3 linked regions of the Oryctolagus cuniculus genome follow. The protein of the gene in region 3 binds, or shares a complex with, the protein of the main gene of each other region. Links are inferred from orthologs where the notes say so. Each region holds a gene or a part of one and is shown on either strand. Other genes may lie near its edges. The genes, in order: TNNC1, TNNT2 and TNNI3.

Region 1 (9,598 bases), on a different chromosome or scaffold from region 3:
AAGAGAAACAAAGATTTTCCATCTGCTGGTTCACCCCTCCCCACCAAATGGTGCAACAGATAGGGCTGAGCCAGGCTGAAGTCAGAAGCCAGGGGCCCAAGCACTCGGACCATCTTCCACCGCTTTCCCAGGTGCATTAGCAAGGAGCTGGATCGGAAGCAAAGCAGCCGGGACCCAAACTGGCACCCACACGGGATGCCGATGCTGCAGGTGGCAGCTCCATCTTCTGTGCCACAAGGCCGGCCCCAGGCCTGGCAATCTTAAAGCTGAAATTCAGAAATTCAGATATGCCCCTTGCAGACTGTCTCACGCTCGGGCTGAGTTTCAGGGGTCCACCAGTTCCTTTTTTTTTTTTTTTTTTTTTTGACAGGCAGAGTGGACAGTGAGAGAGACAGAGAAAAAGGTCTTCCCTTGCCGTTGGTTCACCCTCCAATGGCCGTTGTGGCCAGCGTGCTGCAGCCGGCGCACCGCGCTGATCTGAAGGCAGGAGCCAGGTGCTTCTCCTGGTCTCCCATGCAGGTGCAGGGCCCAAGCACTTGGGCCATCCTCTGCTGCATTCCCAGGCCACAGCAGAGAGCTGGCCTGGAAGAGGGGCAACCGGGACAGAATCCAGCGCCCAGACCGGGACTAGAACCTGGGGTGCCCGCGCTGCTAGGTGGAGGATTAGCCTAGTGAGCCGTGGCGCCGGCCTCCACCAGTTCCTTTCACAATTACATTAATAGGCTGCTTTAGCAAAGAAGTAAACTACAGGCAAGCAGCCTATTTTGCCTTAAAACTCATGTGTGGCGTAACAGGAACTTGACCCCAGCGCCCCAAGCTGAGACACAGGCTCACAGGTTACCTTTTCATGTAGATCATGGAAGTCGCTGTAGCGGTGCTTGACTGTCCACTCGTGGCCGCCATCAGTGACCCGGATGATGTAAACCTAAAAGGGGAAAGCAATAGCCCTAGTGGCCGGGGGAGCCAGCCCACAACGGGTCCCTCTCCCCACAGCGATGACTTCAGGGCCCTCAGAGAGCACCCTGCTCCTAAATGGCCAAAATTAGAGACTGTCCTTGTCCAGCGGCCTCTGCACTTGACCCCTGTTGAGCAGGGCATCCCTCTCTCAGACCCCGAGGCTGGGAAGCTCTGGAGATGGGCCTGTGGCTCCACCCATCAGTGAGGACTGGAAACGTGACTGTACAACGAGCCACCTCTCTGGTTCACCTTCTGCTCCCAGTGAGTTCAAACCCAGCCTTAGCTGCAGAGGCCACCCCTTCCAGGCATGCAGAGCAGGGCCACGACCAGCGAGATCAGTCTCTCTGCCGTATCTCTTTCCCGGTGCCCTGTCTACCTCCTGGAAGCAAATCCTTTCCCCACTTTTTCAACTGGTTCACGGCTATGGTTTCTGGCGCTGAGGAGGAATCAAGGACCAGGAAGCTTAGGGGGAGGCAGTGGCAGGCAACGGCGCCCTAACAGGCAGGCAACGTGGCTTTCCATTTGGGAAGACCTGGGTCCAAACCCTGGCTCTGCCATGTCCTGGCTGTGGCTTATGCATCACTCATGTAGGTGAATCGGAGCCCAAGTTCTGAGCCTCAGTTTCTCCCTCTTAAACTCTGGTAGGTTTAAGCAGCAAGGAAGTTCTCATACAAAATGCTGCCAACAGGGCAGACGTCATCCTAACGTCCAACGAGGCAAACCCAGGGACAGATAATGAGGGGGCCGGCAGGGACCCTCACTTCCCCTCCACACACTGAGGGGCTCAGCCCGATATGGAGACCGCCTCATGCTGACTGCAGCCCACAGAGGAGGGACAGCCAGTCCTACCCCTCGCCTAGCGGGGCCCCAGTCCAAGTTTCCTGCCCTTCTCAGCGGCAAGCAGGGAACTGAGAGAAGAGTCACTTCAGCTTAAGCCCGTGGCTCCAGGACCCGCCCCAGTGCCTCTTCCCACCCCAGCCCCCAAAGGAGAAAGAGCCAGAGGAAAAGTCACCAGGGAGGGGCCTTAGAAGGTGGACCAAGAGGGTGGGCACAGGGGCAGGGTCAAAGCCCCCCACCTTCCAGGAACAAAGCACAAGGCAGGAGGTGCTCACTGCATCCCAACCCAGGGCCGCTTTTTGCCAGGTACCCCACCAGGCTCATGGCTTGGCACCTACCCTCCCCTACTCCACGGTCAGAAATCAAGCCCCCTTTCTGACCTGTCTCCCCTGTGGCTTGGAAGTATGTGCCAGGGCTTGCTGCCTGCCCCACCTCCGCCTACAGCCAAAGCCACGGGGTTATCCCACGGTTTCTGGATCCGCGTTCAAGTTCTGAGACCACCCCCCATTTCCCCACGGCTGGCCTCCACCCTTCTCATCTCCACCAGATCCCCAGGGTCCCCTGTATACCAGTACAGCCCCTCACTTCTCAGAGCACATCTCTGCCGCCATCCCAGCCAACCCCCAGCAAGCCCCGCCCCCTCTCCTTCCCCGCCGGCAGGGCCCTGGTCCTTAACCCTGATTGCATCCATCACGGTTCTTCCCCACACATCCCCTTCCCTCTCGGACCCCCTGACAAGGCTCCCCCCACTCCACGGCTACCACCCTTCCAGGCCTAGAGGATCTAGAAGGGGTCCGCATCATCTGGACAGCCTCTCCCTCCCCAGAGCCCCTTTATTCCCAGATCCTCCCTAACCCAAGTCTCCTTTTCTGATCGCATACCCTTTTCCGGAACCCTCCCTGCGGACCTGCAGAACCCAGACCCCTCCCCAAATTTCCTATCCCAGGCCCCTCTCCTCGGAACCGCAAACGCCTCCACCCACTCCAACCGGCCGCGGGACCCTGACCCCTCCTCATGCCTCCTCAACACCCTGACTCCGGCTGCCACCCCTGGTGCGGGTGCCCACGCCCCCAGCACACCGTATACGTGTCCACGAGCTCGGAGCCCACGACGCGCGCTTCCTTGGCCGGCTCGGCCTCCCGCTCGGGCCCGAAGCCGCCCGCCGAAGCCGCCATGTTCGGGGCTCCGCCGCCACAGCCGCTCGGCGCAGACTGGCAGCAGCAGGGGGCGGGGTCAGCGTCCCACCGCCCCCAGGCCCCCGCCGCCCCCCGCCCCCGCCTCGCGCTGCGCCGCCATCTTGGCCCCGCTGCTGTCTCAGCCTTCGCCCCGCCCCTCGCGCGCAGTGGACGGTAGCCGCCGCCGGCGCGCATGCGCACCCCGCGGGACCCGCTCGCTCCCGGCGCCTGTGTTTGCGTGGCGCCGCGGCGGCGCAACAGAACGCAGAGCGAAGAGTCCCAGCCCTGGAGAAAGGAGGCTGGAAGGCTTGTGGCCTTCTGGGCTACGGTTCCGCCCGGCTCAGTTTCTTTCTCCGGAAAAGAGGGCAGTCGTAGCGCATCCCCAGGCTGTCAGACTCATGCCCCTCCTGGCAGGAGACAGGAGCTGGGCCCGTGACTCGGCCAGTCCCAAACCTCTCCAGGCTTGGGCATCTGCTGACCCGGTGGCCCCTGGAGAACTTAGCGAGCCCAGCACGGAGTAGTCTGCCAGCCAGGGAGTTTATCCAGCGGGAGCTCCGCAGGGGTGGGGGCGGAATCTGGAGAGGAGCTGGCATGGTGGGTGGAGGGAAGGGGACGGTCTGGCCGCTGTGCGCGAAACCCCAGGTGGTGTCCTGCCTGAGCGCAAGGTGGGGGGAGACAGGCTGGCCCTGCCCCCCCCCCCCGCCCGGGCAGGTGCCACAGTGCTGCCCAGGGGCAAGGAAGCCCTGACCCAGTGGAAGACCCAGCTACAGGTGAAGACGCTGGGAGGGGGAGGTTTCTAGGGGTGGTATCTGAGTGCAGCTGGCTCAAGCACGGGGCAAACTGGAGGCCTGGGCCGTGGCCTCTCTGGCACTTCCAGCTGAAGGGCTCCGGATTACCCGGTCCTTCACCGGTTCCATGGCACCGTGCCTTGGCATTTGGCATCTCTCCGCAGGGCCCTGCACCCCCCGTGCTGGCCTTGTCCCTCACTTGGGGAGGGTTCGCTTAAGGCAAGGGCTGCCGAGACTGCCGAATCTTGGCCAAGTCAGCACTCCTCCAGGGCCTCGGTCGTGTGCATCCCCACGACTGGGTGGAAGGTTGAGCTGCCGCATGCAGGCGTGGCCTGAGGCCTCTACCTCCCCCCATTCGTTCAAGAAAGCTGTCTAGGGTGGCAGAGCGGGGCAAGCCACTGCTTCCAAGGCTGGTGTCCCGTCTCAGACTGCAGTTCGAGTCTGGACTGATCTGCTTCTGATCCAGCTTCCTGCTGATGCGCCTGGGAAGGCAGCAAACCATGGCTCAAGAACTTAGACTCCTGCCACCCATGTAGGAGACCAGGTTGGAGTTCCTGGCTCCCGGATTCATCCTGGCCCAGATTTGGCTGCTGTTTGGGAGAGTGTTCCAGCCAATGGAACCAGCCCTCTTTCTCTCTCTCTCCTGTTATTCTGCCTTTCAAATAAAATATCTTTTAAAAAAAAAGAAGCTTTTCTAGGGAGTCTTACGTGTGGTGTGAGGGGCAGAGGGCTGCTCCTTGCAGCCTTGCATCTGCTCCCTGCCCTAGGCAAAGGACACAGGGAGTCTGGCCAGCCCGAGCTCCCCGGGACGGGGAGGGGGCGGAGGACGCTGCACGCCGCGGTGGGCTGGGCTGGGCCGGGAATGCAGAGCAGGGCTATTTAAGCCGAGGCCCAGGGCTGCTGGCAACCCCAGCAGCCGTCCTGTGAACTGACAGCATGGATGACATCTACAAAGCTGCGGTGAGGAAGCAGAGGGGCAGGGCTGGGGTGGGGGAGCCGCTGGGAACTTAGCCCAGAATGGGGGCGGGGGGACCCCCAGCAAAGTGGGGGGGACCCAGGAGAGGCCCACACAAACATGCATCTTCAAAGGGACGGTGGGTCTGGCATGGGGGGGGGTTCAGTCTAGTGGAGCTGGCAGGGTGAGTGGAGGGGGTCAGAGCCTTTGCCGTCAAGCCCCCTGTTTCCCGTGTCTGTAGGCTGTGTGCCCATCTCGGCCACATCTCTGCATCATGTCTCCGCATCTCTCAGCTCCCCTGGAGCTGCCTCTCTGAGTCTCTGTGGCTGTCTCCTGTCTCCTGGCCCTCCCTGCCCCTCGCAGCCTGTCGCTCGCACCCTTGCAGTGCCCCTCCAACCTCCACTTCCTAGCTGACTGGAACGTGGCCAGGGGTCGTGAGGAGCAGGCTGCAAGACCCGAGTCTGGGCTAGGGAAGGGGCATGGAAGCTCAAGGCAGGGAAGGACTAGGTGTGCGTGCAGGAGAGGTGGGGCAGGGAAGACGGGAACCGACAATGAGGGGCCCAGCCCACGGGTAAACTCAGGGCTCAGTGGTTTAGCTGGGGACGAGGGTCAGGGAGCAAGGGCTGGAGAGTGGTCACCCCAAGTACCTGCACCCTGCTGGGGTCACTGAGGGGCTTCAGACCCTGTTCCATCCCGGGGGGGTGACCTCTGCCCCGGGGACAAGCACATGGGAGCCCAGGCGCTGTCCCCAGGGGAACCCTCCCTCAGCCCCTTGAATGCGGCCCCACTCCTAGGCAGGGAAGGGCTATGGCTGGCTGTGGGGGTGTGCCCACCCACCCCCACCAGGGGGGTGGTGGAGGCAGCCCTCCGCCCAGTGCCCATACATGGCCTGGCGGGGCTGGGGACTAATTTTGGCTCCCTAGGCGACAGCAGTAGGCCAGGGGGCCAGATAACGCTGCCCCACCCCCAGCATGCCGAAGTCCCAGAACAATCACCAGGTTTAACTTTGTCCCCCGTTAAAAATAGCCCAGTGGTCACCCTGGTCAGGTTACAGAGGGTGGCTTTGCCCGTCCCCACCCGAGTTTTATTGTCCCAGCCTGAGGGACAGCTGTCCTTCAGGCCTCGCAGCTTGGGTTTCATTAGGGAGGCTGAAAGGGCGTTGAGTGGTCACTGGCTATTGTTACCCCGGGTCACCTTGGCCCTGGAGGGGGTGCCCACCTGTCACCCTGGCCCCGAGCCCAGCCTCAGTGAGGCCAGCTGTGTCACCTCAGGGCTTTGGGACAGGAAGGGAGGGCTGAGGTCTCTTCTTGGTGGCCTGGCTCCTGGCTTCAGCCTTCCCACCTGTGGGACAGTTGCTTCCCTCGAAAGCAGCCAAGGCCTGAGTCTGTGTCCTGAGACCCCTTTTCCTCCCTAGGTAGAGCAGCTGACAGAAGAGCAGAAAAATGGTGAGTGTCCCCTGCTGCACTGCTGGGGACAGCAGGGCCAGGCTGGGGGAGTCCCAGGAGAGGAGTCCCAGCTGGAGGCCAGAAGCTGGGCCCCCTGGCTGGCACCTCAGCGGTCTCAGAGGGAAGAAGGCAGCTTGGCAGCTGGCCCTCTGGGGTCCTGGCTGCTGAGACGCGCTGCTCTCTCTCTGTCCCCGGCCCCACCTTGTTGATGCAGAGTTCAAGGCGGCCTTCGACATCTTCGTGCTGGGCGCGGAGGATGGCTGCATCAGCACCAAGGAGCTGGGCAAGGTGATGCGGATGCTGGGCCAGAACCCCACGCCCGAGGAGCTGCAGGAGATGATCGACGAGGTGGACGAAGACGGTGAGCCCCGCCTGCCCGTCTCGCTGGGGTCAGGCCTGGCTCTGTCTGTCCAGCGGCTGTTTAGCCTGTTTGAGCCTCAGTTGTCTCGTCTGTCAAATGGGCATACTGACCACGCTCGCCTCCAAGAGGCGGTGTGAGGGTGCAGGGAGAACGTGGGGCTTGTGTCCAGGCCGCTGCCTCACGGCATGCCGCCCGCACCACAGGCAGCGGCACGGTGGACTTCGACGAGTTCCTGGTCATGATGGTCCGCTGTATGAAGGACGACAGCAAAGGGAAATCCGAGGAGGAGCTGTCTGACCTCTTCCGCATGTTTGACAAGTGAGCGCGCTGCTCTTGACCTCTGAGCCTGCCACCCTGACCGGGCAGAACTGGGGCAGTGGGCAGCCTCCAATTTGAGATGAAGGGACCCTGTGTGAGGGGGGTGAGGGGTGCCTCCGGCCCTCCCCACAAGCTGCAGCCCCGGCTCCCCCTCAGAAACGCCGACGGCTACATCGACCTGGACGAGCTGAAGATCATGCTGCAGGCCACGGGCGAGACCATCACGGAGGACGACATCGAGGAGCTCATGAAGGACGGCGACAAGAACAACGACGGCCGCATCGACTACGACGGTGAGCAGGGGCCGGGGCCCTGCCGCCGTGCCCTGCCCGGCGGCCCGCTCACTGCCTCCTGGCCCTCTCTCCACAGAGTTCCTGGAATTCATGAAGGGTGTGGAATAGACCCAGCCTTCAGCGGGAGCCGCCCAGATGCTCCGACTCCAGCTGGGGTGCCGCCGGGGCGGGGCCATGAGGGTCAGCCGCCCCTCGCCCCGACCCTGGATCCCTCCCCAGCCTGCGGTGTGAATAAAGCCTTGCCCCCCAGTGGCCTGCCTGCCTCTGACTGCCCCCTCCCGGTGCCCGCGCCCTTCCCGGGGTCTGCGCCTGCTCTGGATCCCCAGCCCCTGCTGGAAGCCTTGGAGTCTCTCAGGGCCTGTGGCCGTGCTCCACACTCTGCACACTGCTTTCTATGGCTGAAGTAATGCATTCGCACAAGCTTCTGGGACGCAGCTGTGGTCAGAGCAGGTGGCAGCCCAGGGCTTCTCTCCTTGAAGGGAGCCGGCAGTACAGTGCCTCTCAGCTCTGCCTGCGGGGAAGCTGGCCCTGTGGGACCCAGCAGGCCCTGGCTCCGACCCACAGAAACATCAGCTCCTGGGGACCGAGGGGCGTCGCGTCGGCCCTGCTTCCCCTCGCCCGTTTCACAGGCGGGACCCCAGGGACCTCGAGAGGTGCCGGGACCGTGCAGGACACCCCGGAGTTTGAAGAAGAGTGAAGCTGCCTGGCTGGGGCTCTGTGTGATGGGCCGGTTCCTGTGACTCTTAGAGGCTGGCGGCTGGCAGGGGCCTCTGAGCTCAGTGCAGATTCCCCAGGCCAGAGCGGCGCCAGCACAGGGGGCTCGCCCTGGGAGGCGGTGGGGGCTGCAGGGAGGCCGAGGTGTCAGCGGTGGCGCTCCCAGGAGGGGCAGCTGCCGCCGGCACCCAGGCTCCAGCCAGAATGCCCACAGCTGTCCCGGCCTCTGCACCTGTGCCTCCGCCCAGGCAATTCCCCACACAGGCCTGGCATTCCAGAGACACTCTTGGAATTCTGGGGATGCTTCTGGTGGGGGCCAGAGCTGCCAGGAGCTGCCCGGGAGCCTCAGGCCTGCCCTGGGAGCTGGAGAACTCGGGGAGCCCTACAGACATGCAGGGGCAGCCAGAGAGATGAAAGGGCCACAGTGGACAGCCCCCGACAGCACACCCACCTTTTACTCACACACCTGCCATGGGCCTGGCCATGGTGGGTGCTGGGATGCATGAGTGAAGCCTGGTCCACCCACGGAGACCAAGAGTGAAGCGAGCGCAATGGGAGCACCAGTGTGGGGCTGGAATAGAGACTGCGGAGGCGTGCTGGGCCCGCAGGTAGTCTGGGAGGGCTTCCTGGAGTTGTTGGTCCTTTGAGCAAGGCTTGAAGAACCACAGGGAACTGGCCACGGTGGGGCAAGGGAGAGGAGTCAAGCCTCCCTCAGCAGGTTTGGGAGAAGGGGTCAGGGCCAGGCCCCACGAGAAACTCAGTCCAGGTGAGGGGGAGGTGGGGGCAGCAGGAGCACCCCCTGGGCTGGGGCAGGGTGAGGCGGACGCTGTGGGAAGGGAGTGGGGTGCAGGGGCTCAGGGCACGTTTTGGAACCAGAACGGGCAGAACTTGCTGAAGGAATGGGCATAGAGGCAGGAAGTAAGAGGCGGGAGTGACTGCTAGACTTTTGGCCCAACTGCCAATTCCCGGGCTCTGGAAGCCGGGGAGGCACAGGTTCCACGGTGGGGTACTGGGAAGCGGAGGCCCCTGTGCTCCTCTAGTGGGTTTCACATTTTGAAATCCCAGACTTGCAAAAATAGCACAGAAAGCTCCCGCTTGCCCTTCACCCAAGTTCCCCAAATGCTAACATCTGAACTAACCACAGCATAGCAAGCGAGCCCCGGAAGTCAGCACGGAGGGGGCGCTATTCCTTCACGTGCCCTCGTGCTGCCCAGCGTCCCCCCTACGTCCACTCCGACCCGGGAGCCTGAGACCTCGCCAGCGGCCATGAGCTTCCCGACCCCTGCCAGAGGGTGACACTGCCCCAAGACCTGGACCCCTCTGCAGAGCTCCCCCGCCGGTGGTTTTGTAGCTCCTCGCTCGATGCAGGTTTGCCCGGGGGGCCCCAGGACTGACTCAGGTGACGCTGTGTGAGCGCACGGAGGACGAGCAGACTCTTGTCCCTGTGTGCAGATGCCTCCGAGACAGGTGGCAGGGACATGAAAGCAGGTGGAGGCAGAGCGCGCAAACACAGCTATCACAGGCACAAGAAGCCCGTTCCCAGCCCGGGCATGGAGGAGGCCCCCAGGGGAGCTGGACAAGAGGGGTGCTGGGCTGGGTGCTGGAACCCCCAAACGCAGGCAGTCTGGGGGAAGGGTCACAGCCACAGGAGGGAGAGACCCTCGGTGAGCCAGGGCCCAGCAGCCAGGAGGAGAAGAAGCAAGTGTGGGTGAAAGCGCGTGGCCCTGGGCCGTGGCCACTTGGGGAGGGTTTCAG
Region 2 (9,748 bases), on a different chromosome or scaffold from region 3:
TTGCCTGGGGTCCGGGCCACGCTTGTCCACGGGAGACTCCTCCCCGCCCCCATTCTGGGGCCTGGGGTCTGTTCTCTTCAGCAGCTCTCGCCTGACCCCCATTTGAGCTTCCCAGCAACCCCATTATGCCTTTCACCCTGGACGTCTCTTCTCCCCTGACCCGAAAGCACCTTGTGAAGTGGGCTCTGCCCTCCCTGTCCCCATCCTTCTCCAGCAGAGGGAGCCAGGGAGCCACCTGCTCAGCGGCAGCCTTTCTTGTCTCTAATCCAGCAGATTCAGGAGAGCACCCAAGACTGAGGTCTCTACCCAGAGAGGCACCAGGGAGCGCTTTAACCCCTTGGCTCCAAAGGGGCTGCCTAGTGGCGGACACCAGAGCAGTGGCTCTCAGTGGCTGTGCACAAATGGGTGCCTGGGGCTGGTCTCAGCCACCATGGTGGGATGTGTAAGGAGAACTGGAGGAGTGAGCAGGGCTCTCTCTGTCCCACTGTCCTCACCCTGCACCCCGGGTGAGAAGTCGGTGGCTTCAATGCTGGCAGGAGACAGAGGGCGTGGGAGGAGCCGCAGAGGGTGGTCCCATCTGGCATTCTCACCCCCCGGCTGCCCCACTGTCCCCTCACCCTCGCATCACCCTTTCCTTCTCGCCCTTGAAGCCGACAGGGCCACACAGTGCACAGCGGCAGGGGGCGCCGTTCACGTTTCTTGGCCCAGGAAGCCTGGGCGGTCAGTTCTCCGCTGGACGCCCGTGGGGGGCAGGCACACTACCCCGGCTTCAAGTCTCACATCTGCCCCAGAACAGGAGCAATTTCAGAGCTAAGAGAGCCCAGGTGCAGGGAGGGAAGTGACCTTTCGAAGGTCACACAGGCCAGTGTTCAAAGCCAGACGAGTCTCCCACTCCAGCGCCCACTTAGTCCCTGCGGCCCCACCCTGTAACTGCATGGGCACAGAAGCACCTGACATTGCCTAATGCCTTCCTCTTCCACTAATGTCAACCCGATCCTCGCAAAGGCTGCTGGGAGCCAGGATAGGTACACTTTATCTCCACAGTCCAGACGGAGAACTGACAGAAAGCCCTGGCCAATCGCCCCCGGCAAGCAGAGGGAAGAGAGTTTGAATCCGGATTGTTCCTAGTGCAGGGAGCAAACTAGCGCCCCAGGAAACCCAGTTTTGGCTGAAAGTTTTGTTGGGATACTCATAGCTGTAAGAAACAAGACGGGGCCGGCGCCGCGGCTCACTAGGCTAATCCTCCGCCTTGCGGCGCCGGCACACCGGGTTCTAGTCCCGGTCGGGGCGCCGGATTCTGTCCCGGTTGCCTCTCTTCCAGGCCAGCTCTCTGCTATGGCCTGGGAGTGCAGTGGAGGATGGCCCAGGTGCTTGGGCCCTGCACCCCATGGGAGACAAGGAGCAGCACCTGGCTCCTGCCATCGGATCAGCACGGTGCGCCGGCCACGGCGGCCATTGGAGGGTGAACCAATGGCAAAAGGAAGACCTTTCTCTCTGTCTCTCTCTCTCTCTCTCTCTCTCACTGTCCACTCTGCCTGTCAAAAAAAAAAAAAAGAAAAAAGAAACAAGACGGAGGGGTCCTATGTCCTGCTGCCCAGGACCCCCGCTCCGGCGCTACCATCTGCAAGGCTCAGGGCAGCATCAGTCACCACGTGGACGTGGGTCCAGCCTCGCAGACTTCCCGGCTTTCCTTGTGCACGAGTGTGTGTGTGTGTGTGTGCACACCTGGGGGCAGGGCTCTCCTGCGGGAGGCTGGCTGCCCTTCCCGCCCGTACTGACCGTCTTCTCTTTCTGGAGGGAGAGCAGCAGCCATGTCTGACTTGGAAGAAGTGGTGGAGCAGTACGAGGAGTGAGTATGGGGGAGGGGTTTCCTCTGCTGGCCAGGGCTTGTCCCCTCCCCCACTTAGCACCTGCTCCAAGGCCTACAGGGCAGAAGTAGCTGTGACTGTTTTCAGGCCCTGTGGTGATCAAAGCCAGTCCCCCAACAGTCTGGGGCGGGGCTCAGTGCAGGGGGCAGGGGGACCGATCTGGCGAGGGCGCCGGCCACCAGCAGAGAAGCTGGGAAGCCGGTTCCCTGAAACCGAGCCAGAAGGGCTGGGGGCCTCTCGCGAGACCACAGAGCCCATCAGGGTGGGGGGACTCAGCTAGCAGGGGCTGCACTGCCTGCAGGATTTGCAGAGAAGAGTTTGGGAGGAGGGGCTTCTAAACAGGTGCACCCCTGGGGAGCGCTCAGAGGCGAGGTGAGAAGATGCAGGGCAGGCAGAGGGTGTGGGCTCCACCAGCAAAGAGGGAGGGAGGGAGAGGGACCCCGGGGTGGTCTCGGGACGGCGCGGCGTGTGTGCGTGCGTGGCTGTTGCTGACAGCATCTTCTCTGCACACAGGGAGCAGGAAGGTAAGCACAGCTGGGTGTCCCTTTGGCTGGAAGACAGTGGGGTTCGAGACTGACCCTCACCCCTCTTCTCTCCTGACTCCTGGCCTTGTGCTCCCAGCAGAGGAAGCTGCAGCTGGTAAGCTCCTTGGGAGCAGGACAGGTTCCTGGCAGCCCCTCCTCCCCCCGGCCTCCAGCTTTCTCACTGCAGTGACGCATGTGCCCACACGGGCGTCCAGCGGAGAACTGACAGCCCAGGCTTCCTGGGCCAACAGGGCGGCGCTGTTTAAAGCACACAAGCCCAGCCCCCCTTATCAAATGAGCTCACAGCGCAGGCGCTCAGCTGTCCACGGTGTTTCACACTGGCTGGAGCGTGTGTCCCGACTGCCGCCTGGCAGGGTCCCTCCTCTCCACTCTGCGAGCCCCTGGCTCTCAGCCTTGGTCCCCTCGCTCGCTGGAAGCCCATCTTTGCCGCTGCTGCTTCTCGAGAACTTGACGCGTGGCAATCCCCCGGAGGCCTCCCCCAAGAGCCCACCCAGCCCCCAAGGTTGCACCCTACTTCTTAGTGGTCCAGCAAAGTCTTAGAAATAGCACTTCTGCTCCTGCTGTGTGGCCGTTGGGAGAACCGAATCCCCCGAGGGTCCTGGCAGGGCCCGGGGCTCCAGGGCTGGCTCCTGCCACATCCCCAGGCCTCGAAGGGAACAGCGCAGGAGCCTCCTGCAGGATGGGGGCTGTCCCAGAGAAGACAAGAGCTCACGGGAGCGCAGTCAGAGGCCACCGGGGTTGCCTTTTGGTTTGCAAGGAGCAGCGCATTTCATCCATGATCCGTGGCAGCCTCTGAATCACAGGTGTAGCCTTCAAATCCGGCCACGCTCCTGACACAGGGGTCTCTGTTTGCTTGGGAGGATTTGCCACTTTATGGCAACAGGCTTTGAGTTGGGGGGGTGCTGAGACCCAGCCCCCCGGATGGGGACCCGGCTGCCTGCCGCACGCAGTAGGATTTGCCTCGCCTCACGCAGCCCCGCTTGCTTGCCGTGACTGGCCGACACTTGCCCCCACGCAGCCGGGGACCCTGGTGTAGATGACGCCGGGGAGCAAGCTCTGGAAGGAAGCCCTGTCGCCTACACGGCGGCGTTCCCAGTGCCTCTGCTTCCGGAGAGTTCTTCCACCTGCTGTCGCCCCTTCCTGGGCCGGAGCGAGGGCTGAGTCCTCAGCTGTGCCCCGTGGTCATGGCGCTGGGCTTGCCTTGCACGGGGCAGCTTCCTTCCTGGGCACAGCCTCTCCAAGGCTCCGTGGTCCAGAGCCAGAGCCCAGCTGCTGGTTACCATTCGTGATGGCTCCCCTGGTGGCAGTCCTTGGTGGGCACGCCAGGCCAGCTCCCCTCAGTGGTCACGGGCCGGGAGGTGGGTGGGGGTGTTCCCTCGGACTGTGGAGGTGCCCGAAGCTCAGGGGAGCCGATGCTGCAGAGCGCTGGCCCGGGAGCGGGGACCCGGGCCACAGTGCGAGAGGCACCAGCCAGCCGCCCGCCACCGCTGCCTCGCCTCTGCTCCGAACTAACCTGTCTCGCTTCTCCCTTGGCTGCCGCTGCCCCCTGACCCTCAGAAGAGGAGGACTGGAGAGAGGACGAAGATGGTACTGTACCTTTCCCCCCGGCTCTGCTTCCTGCACCTGCTGTCCCCGGTGCCAGCGCCTGGCCCCCGCCTTAGAGGGGGCCAGTCAGGGCCACAGTTCTGAGCTGGTCATCACATCTCTCCTTTAGGGTTATGGGCTGGGAAACGCCAGCTGGCTGTCTCCCTGTGTGGCCACTGAGGGGCCCATATCAGGGCTGAGATGCCCCACCTACCCACCCACTGCACAGTGCTGGGCTGTGTGTGGGCCCTCCGTAGGAGCCAGGCAGCACCCAGGCAGGTGGCCGGTGGCAGGAGCCTGGGGACCAAGTGATCTGGGGGCTGGAAATGGCCAGGTCAGAGGGAACACGGTGTCAGCCTGCAGATGGCCCCTGGGGTGGCACTGGACCTGCTCCTGGCACCCAGGGACAGCACTCGGGCAAGGGGGACAGGCGAGGCTCGTTCCAGAGAGCACGGGTCTGACAGGGAGGAGTCAGGATGCGGGGGCCGCCTGGGAGGGGCAGCGCAGCTGATGGCGGTTGCCACTGCGGGCCAGGCATCTACTCTCATGCCTTCTGGAAGAATCTTCTCCACTGTGTCAGTCTCGGTCACCGAGGACCCTTGCCAAGCACTTCCTACGGGCAGAGCACGGGCCAGGGGTTACCCTGTCCGCCTCACCTGTCTGTCCGTCTGTCTGCTCCAGGCGTCTCAGCAGGGTGGGGTCCGCATCCTGCCCAGCATGTGGGTGGGAACAGAGGGTCCCGCAGCCTGCTGCCGAGGGCAGCCCCTCTGACTGCCAGGCAGCTCCTCCATCCTCAGTCTCGCTCTGCTGGTTCCTTCAGATGGGGGGCGGGGGGCTCAGGACGGGGGCTTCCCCAGCACTTTCTCTCAGGTGGAGCCTGTCTTGTGGGCTGGAAAGTTGGGGCTGGGGGCGTCATAGCCCCAGGGAAGCCCCTGGGGAAAGAGGCGCTAGGTCAGGCAGACAGGGCCCCCGGGCCCCCCAGTCCCTGGCTTGAGTCTCGTTGGGCCCACCCCTTCCCTGCTGCTGCCCACAGCACCCACCGCACCCATCACACCCCCACCCAGCTTTCTGGCCCTCCCGGGCTCTGTGTTCAGAAAGGCCCAGTGGGGAGTCCCAGACCGCAGGAGAGGCAGGTTCATGGCTACAGTGCTTATCACAGTCCTGGTCACACCCGTCTGCCCTGACGGTGTGGGCTGCAGACGAGCGGGTGGCATTTTACACCTTGAGGGCACCCAGGATCCCCAACCCTGCAGCCGGAGCAGGAAGCAGGCCACAGGCCGCGAGTCTGTGGATGCACATGGCTGTGCCAATAAAACTTTATCGGAAGCAATGGTCTACAGGCTGGACGTGGCCCCTGGGCTGCGGTTTGCTGGCTTCTGGCTTAAACCAAGCACTCGAGGCAGCCTCTCGTCACTCACGCCAGTTGCCTCCAGGTTCATCCACGCCATCCCTCCAGTGTGCTGGGCAGGGCCGGCCACTCTCTGTCCCGGCCTCTGCCTGGGTGTTCACTGTGTCTCGTTCCCCTCTACAGAGCAGGAGGCAGGGGAAGAGGAGGAGGCTGGGGGCGGAGCTGAAGCTGAGGCTGAGACCGAGGAGACCCAGGCCGAGGGTAAGGCCCTGGGCTGGGGGCTGGGGGCTCGCGGGGTGCTGAACACCCCCCAGAGCCATTCCTGCGGCAGAAAGAAATCCACCTGCCTCCAGCCCTCCACCTGTGCACCTGCCCCTCCTGGCTGGGTGGGATACAACCATCAGTTGGCCAATCAGTGAATGCTGGTTGAGTGCTCAGGCAGTCTTGGGCCCAGGGGCATGCATGTGAGTGCAGACCCCTGGCCCCATAAACCAGCAGCTCTCCCTTGGTTAGGCCCTGACTCTGGGGTGGGTGGAGGATTAGCACTTAGAACAAGGCCCTTTGTTGATTTCTCATGTTTCCTTTAGAAGATGGACAAGAAGAGGAGGATAAAGAGGATGAAGGTGAGTGTGGGCCCCCCCAGCAGCCCTGGGGAGGCGGAGGGGCCAGCGAAGGAGAGGATGGGACTGGGGGTCCTTGCAAGGTGTGGTGCTCTGGGCCTTCACCCCTTCTCATCCCGGGAGCTGTCTTAGTGGTGGCCAGTGACAATGGGACCAGTGACCAGCCCCTGGGACCCGGAAGTCACGCCCTCCATGAGGCTCCTAGAGCTCAAACCACTGGGAGGTGTGGGGTCTGTGGGGGAGAAACCCCGGGGCGTGGAGGGTCCCAGGGTGGGGTGGGGGCGGCATTGCTGCCGTCATCCTGTGCCCCAGCCCTTCCGGGAACATCGTCTCAGCCTCACCTCCAGGGCCAGACAGCAGCTAGGGCACCTAGCTCCCAGCACCAGGAAGTCCAGGGGGCAACCAAGAGACCTGGGAGGGGACTGTGGGACCACCTCGGGGACCTGGCCACCGACCCTCCTGGCTGCGAAGCCCCAGAGGCCATGGCGGACAAGAGCAGACCTTGAAGTAGCATGCTGAGGTCCATGCTGAGAGTGTGGCCGGGGGACGCGGCTGCCCCCTGAGACCCCCCTCCCCTGGGGACTGCTGTGGGAGTCAGCCTGGCCTCACAGGGGCCCACAGGTGCCAGCTCATGGTGGGGGGGGGGGCTGGGGCCTCCTGACCCCGCGGCTGTGTGCTCTCCTCTGCAGATGGCCCCGTGGAGGAGTCCAAACCCAAGCCCAGGTGAGTGGCATGGACCTGTGGTGAAGCCCTGGGAGGGGCCGGGCCAGTGCAGGAGGGTGATGGGCGCAGGTGGCACGGGCTAGGGGTGTGGCAGCACACACTACCCACACTGCCATGTACAGTTGTACAGGTTGCACACTGCACACGGGGTGAGGGCTGAATTCCACCCTGGCGCGTTTGTTGAGGAAGCAGGTGGACCAGCGTCCGCCCCGAGCAGGCACAGGGTGGCCAGATCACCACCCTCTGAGGCTGGGGTGGCCCTGGGACAAAAGGGAAGTGGCGGTGGTGGCCACAGAGCTGCCGAGGGCAGAGGTCGACCCCCCTGGTGGGGTGGGCTTGGGGGGGTATTCCCCATGCCGATGGAACCTCCACTCCTGCCCCTCTCAGTGGGTGGCGGGAACCTGCTCTGGCCAGGCGGTCCCAGCACCTGCGCTGCAAACCTCACGTCAGCTCCACCCGGGCGTGCGCGCGCCCGCCTGGGCCTGGGGTCACCCACCAGCTGAGACTGCGCTGGTCCGGGTCCCGGGGCGGTCCTGCCGGGTGCAAGGCGGGGAGCTGGCGTCCCACAGGCCCGCCTTCCCATCACAGCTTCCTGCTTCCTCGCCTCTCCCCGCTCCCTCTCCTTAAGCGAGAATCCCACTGCCACCTTCCTCCCGGCGCACCAGGTACAACACCCGGGTGCGGGGTGGACGCCAGAGCTCCTTTAGGCGTAGGTGTTGGGGCCGGCGCACGCGGCGGGGTCGACGTCACGCAGCAGAGTTGACGTCACGCGGCAAGTTCGAGGTCGTGTGCCAGGGCCGGCTCCCCGACTCGCCCCTTCTCTCCTCCCACAGGCCCTTCATGCCCAACTTGGTGCCGCCCAAGATCCCCGATGGCGAGAGAGTGGACTTCGACGTGAGCAGCGGCGTGGGCAGAGCAGGCCTGGGCTGGGGGGACGGCGGGGGTCCCTAGGGCCCCTGGTGAGAGGGCGAGAGCAAGAGAGAGAGGGAGTGAGCGATCTCATGGTGCCTGGGGATTGCGTGGGGCGCAGGCTGGGCTGGGAGGTGGCGGGGGTCCCTAGGGCCCCTGGTGGGTGGGAGAGAGAGAGAAGACAAGAGAGACCTCGTGGTGTATGGGGCTGGCGTTGGGCGCAGGCTGGCTGGCCGGCGGAGGTCTGGGTGTTGAGGCTCCTGAGCCCCGGGGCGCCCCCTGCAGGACATCCACCGCAAGCGCATGGAGAAGGACCTGAACGAGCTGCAGACGCTGATCGAGGCGCACTTCGAGAACCGGAAGAAGGAGGAGGAGGAGCTGGTTTCTCTCAAGGACAGGATCGTAGGTCTCAAGTCGCCCGCCAGAGGCTCCCCGGGGCCCACCCTGTGGATAGAGCCCACCGCCGCCCCACAGCACCCCCAGGAGCCCCTCACCCTGCTGGGGGGGGCCACGCCCTGTGGGTAGAGCCCACCGCCGCCAGGAGCCCCTCACCCTGCTGGCTGGGGTCTGTCCTGCAGGATCCCGGAAGGTTTGAGCAGCTCTGGGACCCCGCCTTCTCCGGCCCTGGACTGGATGCTCCCCGATTGCAGGAGCTGCGTCCGATCCATCTGGGGGCCCCGCAGAGCCGAAGCCAGGCCCGGGCTGTGATAGGACCCCTCCCCCCCACCGTGGGTTCTGGGCTCCCTCTGCGGGGCGCGCTGGGCAGCCTCCGCCTGTCTGCCTTGTAGGAGAAGCGGCGTGCGGAGCGGGCCGAGCAGCTGCGCATCCGGGCGGAGCGCGAGAAGGAGCGGCAGAACCGCCTGGCTGTGAGTGCCCCGTGGCCCCTGCTCCTGGACGCACGGTTTTGTCCTGTCTTCGGACCCCTCCCGGACCTCACCAGCTTGGCCTTTGAAGACCAGGCCATGTCGCCCATGGCCCAGCACAGCCGCCTGTGAACCCCCAGCCCTTTTCCTGAGGGCTCGTGGCCGCCCTGCCAAAGCCACACAGCTCCAGGGAGGGCTGCAGGGGCCTTGCTGGGGGAGTCAGGAGCCCGTCCATTCCCTTGCTGGAGCTCACAATCTCCGGAGGGCCGGGCCTGGGCTGGGGGCACCCACAGAGAGCTCCGGGGCCAGCAGGGGGAAAAGTGGACCCATCCGTGAGACCACCCCTTTCAGCCCAGAAGTGGGGGTCCCCGGCCTGCCCCCGACTTGCCCTCTCCCCGCTCCCCTGCCCATCAGGAAGAGCGCGCCCGGCGCGAGGAGGAGGAGAGCAGGAGGAAGGCGGAGGACGAGGCGCGCAAGAAGAAGGCGCTGTCCAACATGATGCACTTCGGGGGCTACATCCAGAAGGTGGGGGCCGGCCGGGGGCTGCCGGAGTTCAGGTTGGGTCCCGGCAGGAAGCGGTGGGAGGTGGAGGCCTGCTCGGGCCAGCCCCCGAGTGGGCTCTCGGCATGGCCGTGGACTTAGCTCTGCTGGGGTAGGGAGCTCTGGGCAGACCCTGATGCTGGCGGCGCCCAGGAGCCCCCAGGGTGGCCGGTACAGCCCAGCATCAGAGCTCTGATTGGATGCCCAGCTCTGCTGTCACCTGCGGCCGTGGGGCCGCCCCCGCCCCCGCCCCCGCCCAGCGACTCGGTGTCCCGCCCGGCCCCCTGCTCACCTGCAAGGCGCCTGTGGGCTACACAGACGAACAGTGGCCGCTCCTGGGATCCCACTCCCAGTCCTGCCATCCCTGTCAGCTCCCGCTGGCCCCAGTCCTCAGGGCGACAGCGCTTTCCTCCTGCAGTGGAGGGCCGTTGTCTTAGACCCCTAAGGTCCCCAGCCCAGCCATGCTGCCTCTGCCCTGTGGTGGCCTCACCAGGCCCGCCCCGGGCTGCGAGGGGAGGGGAGCCAGGCGGGCTCTGAATCTTCTCCCTTGTGTTTCTGCCTCTGTCCCCTCCCCCACCCCGTCCCCACCGTCTCTGTTCCCTGTTGCTCTCTCTCTCTGGCTCTTTCTCTCCTGCTTTCCTGGTTTAGCAGGCCCAGGTGGGTACCAGTCCTCAAACCCTCTTCCTCCCCATAGTTTTGGGGCGCTCCCTGGGAGGGGACAGCAGCCTGCTGGAGGGTGGTGCTGAAG
Region 3 (9,616 bases):
CATGCTGCTCTTCAGCCTGGCCCTGGAGGAACCCGAGAAGATGGGGCTGCAAGGTCAGTCGCCAGGCCCCAGAGCACCCCCCCCCCCAAGAATCCTGGCCTGTCAGTGGCTAAAAATAGCCCTCGGCCATGGTCGTCTGTCTCATCGTTAGCAAATACACAGCCTGGCTTTTCCCACTTGTAAAATGGGAGCTCGAAATAGCTACCCCGCCCCCCACCCCAGCCACAGAGAAATGCGGGAAGCTGTGGCCCCAAAGTCCTCCGCGGGGTCAGCAGGGTCCCCGCGGGGAGGGGGTGCCCAGCGTGGGCGGGCAGTGGTCCTTTCCTGCTGGCGACCCCCGCTCAGCGCCCGGAGCAGCCCTGACTCAGGCTGTGTTCAGATGCCCGCTCGGCTTTGCCGCGTGGTCCCAGACCAGAGTCCACTCTCCCCGGGAGCCATTGCCACGCTGAGGGGCGGGGGTCGCAGAGCCTCCCCACGGGAGTCAGTGTAGACAGAGAGGTCTTCCCTCCACTGGTTCACTCTCCAAATGGCCGAAATGGCCAGAGCTGTGCCAATCTGAAGCCAGGAGCTTCTTCCAGGTCTCCCACGTGGGCCCAAGGACTTGGGCCATCTTCCACTGCTTTCCCAGGCCACAGCAGAGAGCTGGATGGGAAGTGGAGCAGCCGGGACTCGAACCGGAGTCCATGCAGGATGCCGGCACTGCAGGCAGCGGCTTTACCCACTGTGCCACAGCGCTGGCCCCCACCTTTTTATTTTTGAAGGCAGGGGAATCTAGACAGGAGATTGTGGTGATGTGGGGGTGGGTTGGGGAGGTGGAGTCAGGAGCCCTGGGCTGTCACCCGCTCACCCCAGGATGGGCGAGGCACGGGATGGCTCCTTAAGCTCCTGGCCAAGAATAACGTCCCCATTCCTCCCCACCACCCAGAGAAGAGCGAGACCTTCCTGGAGGTGTGGGGGAACACACTGCTGCGCCCCTCGGTGGCCGCCTTTGTGCGCACCCAGGCCCAGCGCCTGGCGCACCTGGTGCCGGAGCCCGACCTCCTGGCGGAGCAGCTGCCGTGGCTCTCCCTGGGCGCCCTCAAGGTGCGGGGCCGGCCTCCGCCCATCTCCCCGCCTGGAGCCCGCGGGGATTCGGGAGTCTGAACCCTGGCTTCCCAAGCCCCTGGCCTGGGGGAGGGGTGGCTCCCGCGGGGACCCTCCCCGAGCCCCCTCTCGACCCTGGCCGCGCAGTTCCGCGAGCGAGACATGCTGGAGGCCGTGTTCCGCTTCTGGGCGGGCCGAGAGAAGGGGCCCCAGGCCTTCCCCGTGAGGCGGCTCTGGGACTCGCGGCTGCGCCACTACCTGGGCTCCCGCTACGACGCGCGGCACGGGGTCAGTGACTGGGACCTGCGCATGAAGCTGCACGACCGCGGGGTAAGGGGTCGGGGCGGTGACCCCGGGGGTCGAGGGCGGAGGCTGCGAGGCGGGGGGGGGGGGGGGGGGGGCTACTCCAGCATCTCCCAGACCTCCCTCCTCGCCTTCCCCGACGCCAGGCCCAGGTCATCCACACGCAGGAGTTCCGACGCTGGCGGGACACCGGGGTGGCCTTTGAGCTCCGAGACTCCAGCGCCTACAGAGTGCCCAACCGAACCCTGGCGTCCGGCCAACTCCTGCTCCACGTGAGCGCCCACTGCCTGCCCCGACCCGGGAATCAGGGCGCCCAACACCGCGTCACCTGGCTCTCCCCTCCCTGCCTTTGCAGCGCGGGGAGCGCGTGGTGGCGCGCGGGTACTGGGGGGACATCGCCACGGGGCCCTTCGTGGGCTTTGGCATCGAAGCCGACGACAAGGAGCTCCTGCGGACCAGCAATGGACAGCCGGTCAAGGTATGCGGCGGGAGCCCCAAACCCCGGCCCCGGAATCCGGCTGCGGTAAGTCCGGGTGCCCTAAGCGCCGCGCTGTCCCGCACACAGACCGCGGGCGAGATCACGCAGCACAACGTGACGGAGCTGTTACGGGAGATGGCCGCCTGGGGGCGCCCGAGAGCCGCCGAGGGCCAGGAGCGAAGCCCCCTGCGGCCGCCCGCAGGTGAGCCGGGGGCGCCAGCGGCCGGTGTCCGGGCTCGGTCAGCAGTGCCCGCACCCGGGACCCCTCCTCCTCGATGGCTGCTCCTTTCCTAAATGATTCCCGCGGTCCTGCCTGCAGGGGCCTGGGAGGGCGGCGCCGGGCCCTGGCTCCTGCTGGGCACGCCCCCACCCCGGGGCTGACCCCCTGTCGTCACCTGTAGCCCCCCCACGCTTCTCCGTCCACTTCCTGCCCTTGGGCTCTGCCCAGGCCCTGCACCGCAAAGGCTGCTACAGAGGCCGCTTCCAGCTGCTCTACGTGGCCTGCGGGTAAGAGGGGCGCCGCCCCCAGCCCCGGGGCCCGGCCTTGTCCGCTCCGGGCCGCATCCAGTCCACCGCAGCCTCTCCCCGCCCCTCTGCAGGATGGTCCAGCAGCTCAGCCCCGAGCTGGGCGCCTGCGTGGCTCCCGGAGGCAGCCTGGTTGTGGAACTGGCCCGGTGAGCCGCCGGCAGAGGCAGCGGGCTGGGGGGGGGGGTCTGGGCTGGGGACCCCTGACGCGTCCCTGTCGCCCCCAGGTACCTGGTGGACCTGCGGCAGCAGCAGCTGCAGGGGTTCTGCTCCCGCGTTGGCCAGCAGGCCCTGGCGGCGGGATTCACAGCCCAGTGCCAGGCCGGCCCCTCGGACACCTTCGCGCGCTTCTGCAAGCCCCGGGAGTCCGGGGCCCCGCCCTCGGAGCACCTGGCCACGCCCCCCGGAGCCCCGACCCCGCCTCCTGAGGCGGAGAGCCTGCCCACTGAGGACCTGGTCACTTCCCCTGAAGTCCAGGCTCCACCTCCCAAGGCAGAGAGCCCGCCCCTTGAGCACCTGGCCCTGCCCCCAGAATGCCCGGCCCCGCCTCCAGAGGCAGAGAGCCTGCCCCATGATGACCTGGCCCCGCCTCCGGAAGGCCAGGCCCCGCCCCATGGAGCCCTGGCTCTGCCTCCTAAGGCAGAGAGCCTGCCCATTGAGGACCTGGTCACACCCCCTGAAGGCCAGGCTCCACCTCCTGAGGCAGATCGCCCACCCCCTGAGCACCTGGCCACGCCCCCAGAGACCTCCCCGCCGCGCTCCGAGGCCCCGGAAGCGCCGGCGCCGCCTGAGGCAGCCCCCCGCGGCAGTGTACCCCAACTCCGACTGGAGGGGTCTGCCCCGGAATTAGTCACCGCGTAGTCCAGCTCTTGGTTTTACCCTCAGCAGCCTCCCCGCAGGAATTTCGAGTTCCCTGTCTGGGATTCTCATGTGCGCCCCTGGCGTTCTGGAATGTTCTCTGGGATTGCAGGTTCCACCTCGGAGCCCCCAGCTGGCGCCGGCCACCTCCTCGCAGGGGTGGGGCGGGCTCGGGCGGGCCCGCTGGCACCCACATGATGAGAATAAAGAGTCCAGTACTTGGCACGCCGCGTCCTGTGTCCCTGTGTCCTGGGGTCGGGGTCTGGGATGGGGCTGGGTTAGGGGTCAGAGGGAGGAGGGGCTGGGGCCTGGGCTCTGTGAGTCCGAGGGAGGAGGGCTGGGGCCTGGGCTCTGTGAGTCCGAGGGAGGAGGGCTGGGGCCTGGGCTCTTTGTGAGTCTGAGGGAGGAGAGATGGGCCTGGGCTCTGTGAGTCTGAGGGAGGCGGGTTGGGGCCTGGGCTCTGTGAGTCTGAGGGAGGAGGGTCTGGGGCCTGGGCTCTGTGAGTCTGAGGGAGGAGAGATGGGCCTGGGCTCTGTGAGTCTGAGGGAGGCGGGTTGGGGCCTGGGCTCTGTGAGTCTGAGGGAGGAGGGTCTGGGGCCTGGGCTCTGTGAGTCTGAGGGAGGAGGATCTGGGGCCTGGGCTCTGTGAGTCTGAGGGAGGAGGGCTGGGGCCTGGGCTCTGTGAGTCTGAGGGAGGAGGGATGGGCCTGGGCTCTGTGAGTCTGAGGGAGGAGGGCTGGGGCCTGGGCTCTTTGTGAGTCTGAGGGAGGAGGGATGGGACTGGGCTCTCTTGAGTCTGAGGGAGGAGGGCTGGGCCTGGGCTCTGTGAGTCTGAGGGAGGAGGGATGGGCCTGGGCTCTGTGAGTCTGAGGGAGGGGGGCTGGGGCCTGGGCTCTGTGAGTCTGAGGGAGGAGGGTCTGGGGCCTGGGCTCTGTGAGTCTGAGGGAGGAGGGCTGGGGCCTGGGCTCTGTGAGTCTGAGGGAGGAGGGTCTGGGGCCTGGGCTCTGTGAGTCTGAGGGAGGAGGATCTGGGGCCTGGGCTCTGTGAGTCTGAGGGAGGAGGGCTGGGGCCTGGGCTCTGTGAGTCTGAGGGAGGGGGTCTGGGGCCTGGGATCTGTGAGTCTGAGGGAGGAGGGCTGGGGCCTGGGCTCTTTGTGAGTCTGAGGGAGGAGGGCTGGGCCTGGGCTCTGTGAGTCTGAGGGAGGAGGGTTGGGGCCTGGGTGAGATGGAGGTCTGGGGGGCCGAGCAGAGGGGTCCAGTTTCTGTCCCTGGGTGGCGCTGGCCCTGCTGCACACGGCCCGCCTGCCCCTCGTGTGCGCTCACGCGCCCCGTTATCTGCCCCAGCGGAGGAGGGGCGGGGAGGTATATTTAGTCGGCCCTCGCCCTTCAGCTCAGTGTCCTTGGTGAGCCCTGTGCAGCCCGGAGGAGCCCCTACGGCCAGGGGGCTCCAAGGTCACCCGGACGCCCACTCCTGAGTCAGCATGGCAGACGAGTGCGTGAGGCTGGGCCACCGGACCCCCGAGGTCTCGAGGGCGTGGGGGGTGGGGGCGTGTGCCTGGGCTCTCCAGGGGGAACCCGGGACCTGGGACGGAGTCAGGGGTGGGACCCCGGGCTGGGAAGTGTGAGAGTGTGGGGATCCCTCCTGGGACGTGACCTCCGGGCCAGGGAGGCCTCTGGGGTCCCCCAGGAGCTGGAGCGGCACAGGCCCCACCCTGATCCCGCCTCTGTTCTTCCCCTGCAGGAGCCGGGATGCGGTGAGCGCCCCGGGTAGAGGCTGGGTGGAGACCCCGAGGCTGGGCGGGGACCCCTGAGACTCTGAGTGGGGACCCCCAGGCTCTAGGTGGGCGGGTGGGCAGGGGGCAGGGCCAGGGTCTTGGTGATGATGGGCCCCTCCACGCCAGGCAGGGGAAGCGCGCCCCGCGCCAGCCCCGGTGCGACGCCGCTCCTCCGCCAACTACCGCGCCTACGCCACGGAGCCGCACGCCAAGGTGGGCGGGCTGCGGGGCCTCGCGGGACCCAGGAGGGACCACGGAGGGAAGGGCAGAGCCAAGGCCTAGGATGAGGAAGATGTGGTCGTGGGTGGGGCCGAGGAGGTGGTGGGCGGGGCTTGGGAGAAGCCGGGCTCGGATTGGTGGGAACGGCCTGTGGGCGGAGCCAGGGCCTAGGATAAGAGGGAACATGGTCGTGGGCGGGGCCGAGGAGCTGGTGGGCGGGGCTTGGGAGGAGCCGGGCTCGGATTGGTGGGAGCAGCCTGTAGGCGGAGCTCCGTTGCCCATGACGTTGCTTAGGAGGTGGGTAGGCGGTGCCTAGCCAGAGTCTGAGCCCAGATTGGTGGGCGGGGACGAGGGGCGTGGCTTCCTCTGGACGCGGGCTTCAAGTTGGAGGCGGGCGCACATCTGGACGGGCCTGAAGGGATGGTGACGCCCCTCGGAGGGTCTCAGTCCTCCATCCAACCGTGTCACTCCGGCAGAAAAAGTCTAAGATCTCGGCCTCAAGGAAACTGCAGCTGAAGGTGAGGGTCGACCGGGGGTGGGGGTGGGGGGCAGGCTAACCAGGGGGCGGGGCTTGCATAAATTAGGGCTGGGCTTGGGTAGGTGGGGCGGGGCCTTGGACGTGTCCTTGCGGAGAGGGCGGGGCCTAGGGTTAAAGGGGTACCCGCTCATCCTGAGACCCCGGGGTGGGCTGCCGCCCGCCCACCCCTGCAGACCCTGATGCTGCAGAGTGCCAGGGCGCTGTCTTTATCCCGAGACGCCGCCCCGCCCACGTCTGCAGACCCTGATGCTGCAGATCGCCAAGCAGGAGCTGGAGCGGGAGGCGGAGGAGCGACGCGGAGAGAAGGGGCGCGCTCTGAGCACCCGGTGCCAGCCCTTGGAGCTGGCGGGGCTGGGCTTCGCCGAGCTGCAGGTACCCGCGCCCACCTTCCGTTCAGGACCGGGGGTCCAGTGTCGTAGCCTGTCCCCTCAGGGAAGCAGAATCTGGCCTGCAACCACGCACAGCCACAAAGCCCAGGGCCGGCTCCCCGCAGCCCAAGCCCGTCAGTCTCCGGCTCCCATACAACCTCTGCGTGCCTGTCCCTGGAGCCGCAGCTCCAGCGTCGCCCCCTTCAAGGCCACTTCCGGCCCCTCCTCCCTCAGACCAGGATTTCAAGGGTCCTCTGGCCTGCCCCCCACAACACACTCGGAATTCCTCCGCCAGGACTTGTGCAGACAGCTCCACGCCCGCGTGGACAAGGTGGACGAAGAGAGATACGACGTAGAGGCAAAGGTTACCAAGAACATCACCGAGGTGCGGGCGCCTGGGGCTGTGGTCTCAGCCCTCAGTCGCAGACCCCAGGGGACGGGGACAAGTCCATGAGCCTGGCAGGGTGGCAGCGGGATACGGGCAGGGAAGGCCGTTCCAGGCAGGATCGGCATATGCGAAGCTGGGGAGGGATGTGAGTGGGGGGTGGGGCATAAGGAAGTGAGCTCAGGTGGAGCTGAGCAGGTGGTCTTGCGAACGAGGCTGGGTTGCAGGAGAGGGGTTCAGTTTCCCAGGGTTGGAAGCTTGGTCTGGGAGCTGGAGCTGGGGAGAGGCTGGGTGAGGCCGAGATGCTGGAAGGGGGCGCCGCAGGAGGGAGGGGTCCCCACTTCCAGTGTGGCCGCCCCCAGATTGCAGACCTGACCCAGAAGATCTTTGACCTGCGGGGCAAGTTTAAGCGACCCACCCTGCGGAGGGTGCGGATCTCTGCAGACGCCATGATGCAGGCGCTGCTGGGGACCCGGGCTAAGGAGACCTTGGACCTGCGGGCCCACCTGAAGCAGGTGAAGAAGGAGGACACGGAGAAGGTGAGCGCGGGCCAGGGCCAGGGAAGGGGTACCGAGGTGAGGGGCCGCTGCGGCAGCAGCCCCAGGGTCTGGCCCCTGGGCAGATGCTTCCTGGAGCTGAGGGGACAGGCAGCTGGTGAGGGGTCCTCAGCAGGAAGTATGGGAGGGCCGCAGGAAGTGCAAGAGAAAGACAGGAAGTAGGAAGGAGGACAGGAAGTGCATTGGCAAGAGTAGGTAGGGAGGACAGGAAGTGCATGAGGGAGAGAGAAGGATGCTGGGAGGAGACAAAGGAAGGGGGACAGGAAGTGCATGACAGACAGGAAGTGATGAGGAGACAGGAAGTGATGGGGGAGACACACAGGAAGTGCATGAGGGGACACAGACAGGAAGTGCATGAGGGGGACAGGAAGTGCATGACAGACAGGAAGTGATGAGGAGACAGGAAGTGATGGGGGAGACACGCAGGAAGTGCATGAGGGGACAGACAGGAAGTGCATGAGGGGGACAGGAAGTGCATGACAGAGACAGGAAGTACATGAGGAGGAGAGGGGGACAGGAAGTGATGAGGGGACAGGAAGTGCATGAGGAGGGCACACAGGAAGTGCATGATACAGGAAGTGCATTGGGGACAGGAAGTGCATAATGGACATAGGAAGTGATGAGGGGACAGGAAGTGCAGGAGGGGGACAGGAAGTGCATGAGGAGGATACACAGGAAGTGCATGAGGGAACAGGAAGTGCATGAGGGGACAGACAGGAAATGCATGAGGGGTCAGACAGGAAGTGCATGAGGGGACAGGCAGTGCATGACACAGGAAGTACATAAGGGGTCAGACAGGAAGTGCATGAGGGGAGGCAGGAAGTGCATGAGGGGACAGACATGAAGTGCATGACACAGGAAGTGTGTGACTGGGACAAGAGGCAGTTAAGAGAACTCGGCCGACTGTAGGGGACAGGCAGCGTGGAGCGGTCCTGCCCGCAGCGGCTTAGGGAGAGGGGACCAGGAGGAGACCCTAACCTCTGACCGCACCCCCAGGAGAACCGGGAGGTGGGAGACTGGCGCAAGAACATCGACCTGCTGAGCGGCATGGAGGGTCGCAAGAAGAAGTTCGAGGGCTGAGCCCCGCACGGCCCGGCCCGCCCTGCTGAATAAAGCTGCTCCGAACTGCAGTGGCCGCGTCCTGGTGTGCTGGACACTGGGGGGAACGGGGGCGGGGCCGCCCTGCGCCTCCGACAGGGGCGCTCATGGCTGCACGTGGGGTGCACGCAGAGGCCAAGGACAAGGCCGACGGGGAGCACCCACGGAGACGCCCACGGGAGAGGGACTGAGCCAAAGACGCAAAGGAGGAGAGAGAGAGACGGAAGACAGCGGGCACAGACTCCCAGGGAACCTGTGACCGACAGGAGCTAGAAAGACACACGAGGACATGGACAGCCACAGACTCGCCCAGGGACCCCGAGCACCAGACAGAGGCCCGCCCGGAAGTGCCATCGACAGGACACACACCCAGGGGCCAGAGGGGGACAAGGACAGAGCCCTGGGAGACCCTGAGAAGGGCAGCCAGGTCCCCGGGGGGAGGAAGCCTGCTGTCCAGGGCTCTCTCAAGGTCATGGCTGGACTGGGGGGAGGGCTTGCCAGCCTCATTGTCACCCCATCCTCTCCCCCCCCCCACACCTGCCTCCCGGTTTTAGAGCCTTTTGTCACCAGAGCGGAATCCTGGTGGCAGACAAAGGGGTGGGGGCGGGGACAGGGACACACACAGGACAGACAGAGGCTCAGAGACCACCCATGGGGAGGCCTGGGCCCTGGAGCAGCCAGGAGATGCCTGGACCCTGACTCTGGAGCCAGAAGGGGCTGGGCCTCCTCTGAGCTCAGGAATTCCCCCCCACCCCGCGCCCCAGGGGCGGGGCTCAGCCTGCAGCTATAAACCCCTATAAACGCGGGGTGCGTCAGAGCCCTCAGCGAGGCCAGGCCAGGCAAGGCTCAGCCTGCGGATCCAGCGTCTGCATCCCCAGCCTTAGGTAACGGGGCTCTGCCGTCCCCACGGAGTGCCCTGGACGGAGCGCGAGAGCTGGGGTCTGGGAGGAGCAGGCTCAGAGCACAGGGCGCCTGGGTGCCGAATGCGGGGTGTCTTCCGGAGTCTGCAGGGACCTCAGGAGGGGTGTTCTGGGCTCGGCTGTCAGATAGTCTGAGTGGCAGGTTTGGGGGTCTCCAGCTCTGGGGGTATCAGGACCGGGGAGGGGTCTGAGTGTGGGATTTTGGGAATCGGGTCTCAGCATTTGTAGCGCCATAGCTCGGGGTGTGGTGCTGAGCCCTGAGCTTGGGCCCCAGGGTGCCCATCCTGACGGTGTGGGGCCGTGGGGTAGCCGGGCCCACAAGTGGGTTATCCAGGGGGTGGGACTGGAAGGGCTCTGAGCCTGGGCCAGGAGGGTCTCAGGGACGCGGGGTGTGCGTGTGTGTGTGTGTGTGTAGGGTCTCAGGGACGCGGGGTGTGTGTGTGTGTGTGTGGTGTGGAGGGTCTCAGGGACGCGGGGTGTGTGTGTGTGTAGTTTCAGGGACACGGTGTGT

Evidence for each region.
Region 1: the proteins of TNNI3 (region 3) and TNNC1 are in contact, whole or in part, in a crystal structure (PDB 4Y99), measured with the Homo sapiens proteins. The link is inferred for Oryctolagus cuniculus from reciprocal best matches to the Homo sapiens genes TNNI3 and TNNC1. Residues at the interface, in NP_000354.4 of Homo sapiens: Glu32, Pro33, His34, Ala35, Lys36, Lys37, Lys38, Ser39, Lys40, Ile41, Ser42, Ala43, Ser44, Arg45, Lys46, Leu47, Gln48, Leu49, Lys50, Thr51, Leu52, Leu53, Leu54, Ile56, Ala57, Lys58, Glu60, Leu61, Glu64, Arg136; in NP_003271.1 of Homo sapiens: Asp3, Ile4, Lys6, Ala7, Glu10, Gln11, Thr13, Glu15, Gln16, Glu19, Phe20, Ala22, Ala23, Ile26, Phe27, Val44, Met45, Leu48, Gln50, Glu59, Met60, Glu63, Glu66, Asp67, Gly68, Asp73, Asp75, Glu76, Phe77, Met81.
Region 2: the proteins of TNNI3 (region 3) and TNNT2 are in contact, whole or in part, in a crystal structure (PDB 4Y99), measured with the Homo sapiens proteins. The link is inferred for Oryctolagus cuniculus from reciprocal best matches to the Homo sapiens genes TNNI3 and TNNT2. Residues at the interface, in NP_000354.4 of Homo sapiens: Arg68, Glu71, Lys72, Ala75, Leu76, Arg79, Gln81, Pro82, Leu83, Leu85, Leu88, Gly89, Phe90, Leu93, Gln94, Leu96, Arg98, Leu100, His101, Arg103, Val104, Asp105, Val107, Asp108, Glu109, Glu110, Arg111, Tyr112, Asp113, Ile114; in NP_001263274.1 of Homo sapiens: Glu214, Lys217, Lys218, Ile221, Leu222, Arg225, Arg226, Lys227, Leu229, Ile231, Asp232, Leu234, Asn235, Glu236, Leu239, Arg240, Ala243, Lys244, Leu246, Trp247, Ile250, Tyr251, Leu253, Glu254, Ala255, Glu256, Lys257, Phe258, Asp259, Leu260.

Annotation. Positions count from the first base shown.
Region 1 is NC_091441.1:97,256,973-97,266,570, forward strand, and holds TNNC1 (troponin C, slow skeletal and cardiac muscles), read left to right. Parts: upstream 1-4,450; 5' UTR 4,451-4,693; coding exon 4,694-4,717; intron 4,718-6,126; coding exon 6,127-6,157; intron 6,158-6,371; coding exon 6,372-6,518; intron 6,519-6,721; coding exon 6,722-6,836; intron 6,837-6,992; coding exon 6,993-7,129; intron 7,130-7,205; coding exon 7,206-7,237; 3' UTR 7,238-7,381; downstream 7,382-9,598. Other genes in the region: NISCH (nischarin), read right to left, coding at 842-925, 2,874-2,969. UniProt on the Homo sapiens protein: Troponin is the central regulatory protein of striated muscle contraction. Tn consists of three components: Tn-I which is the inhibitor of actomyosin ATPase, Tn-T which contains the binding site for tropomyosin and Tn-C.
Region 2 is NC_091444.1:17,356,015-17,365,762, reverse strand, and holds the start of TNNT2 (troponin T, cardiac muscle), read left to right. Parts: upstream 1-4,834; 5' UTR 4,835-5,288; coding exon 5,289-5,430; intron 5,431-5,528; coding exon 5,529-5,606; intron 5,607-5,932; coding exon 5,933-5,968; intron 5,969-6,654; coding exon 6,655-6,688; intron 6,689-7,521; coding exon 7,522-7,582; intron 7,583-7,882; coding exon 7,883-7,999; intron 8,000-8,385; coding exon 8,386-8,463; intron 8,464-8,874; coding exon 8,875-8,985; intron 8,986-9,748. UniProt on the Homo sapiens protein: Troponin T is the tropomyosin-binding subunit of troponin, the thin filament regulatory complex which confers calcium-sensitivity to striated muscle actomyosin ATPase activity.
Region 3 is NC_091449.1:3,697,700-3,707,315, forward strand, and holds TNNI3 (troponin I, cardiac muscle), read left to right. Parts: upstream 1-4,628; 5' UTR 4,629-4,726; coding exon 4,727-4,768; intron 4,769-5,146; coding exon 5,147-5,233; intron 5,234-5,715; coding exon 5,716-5,757; intron 5,758-6,017; coding exon 6,018-6,149; intron 6,150-6,440; coding exon 6,441-6,530; intron 6,531-6,892; coding exon 6,893-7,069; intron 7,070-8,083; coding exon 8,084-8,167; 3' UTR 8,168-8,217; downstream 8,218-9,616. Other genes in the region: DNAAF3 (dynein axonemal assembly factor 3), read left to right, coding at 1-53, 926-1,083, 1,231-1,413, 1,533-1,658, 1,742-1,864, 1,952-2,066, 2,266-2,371, 2,464-2,538 and 1 more. UniProt on the Homo sapiens protein: Troponin I is the inhibitory subunit of troponin, the thin filament regulatory complex which confers calcium-sensitivity to striated muscle actomyosin ATPase activity.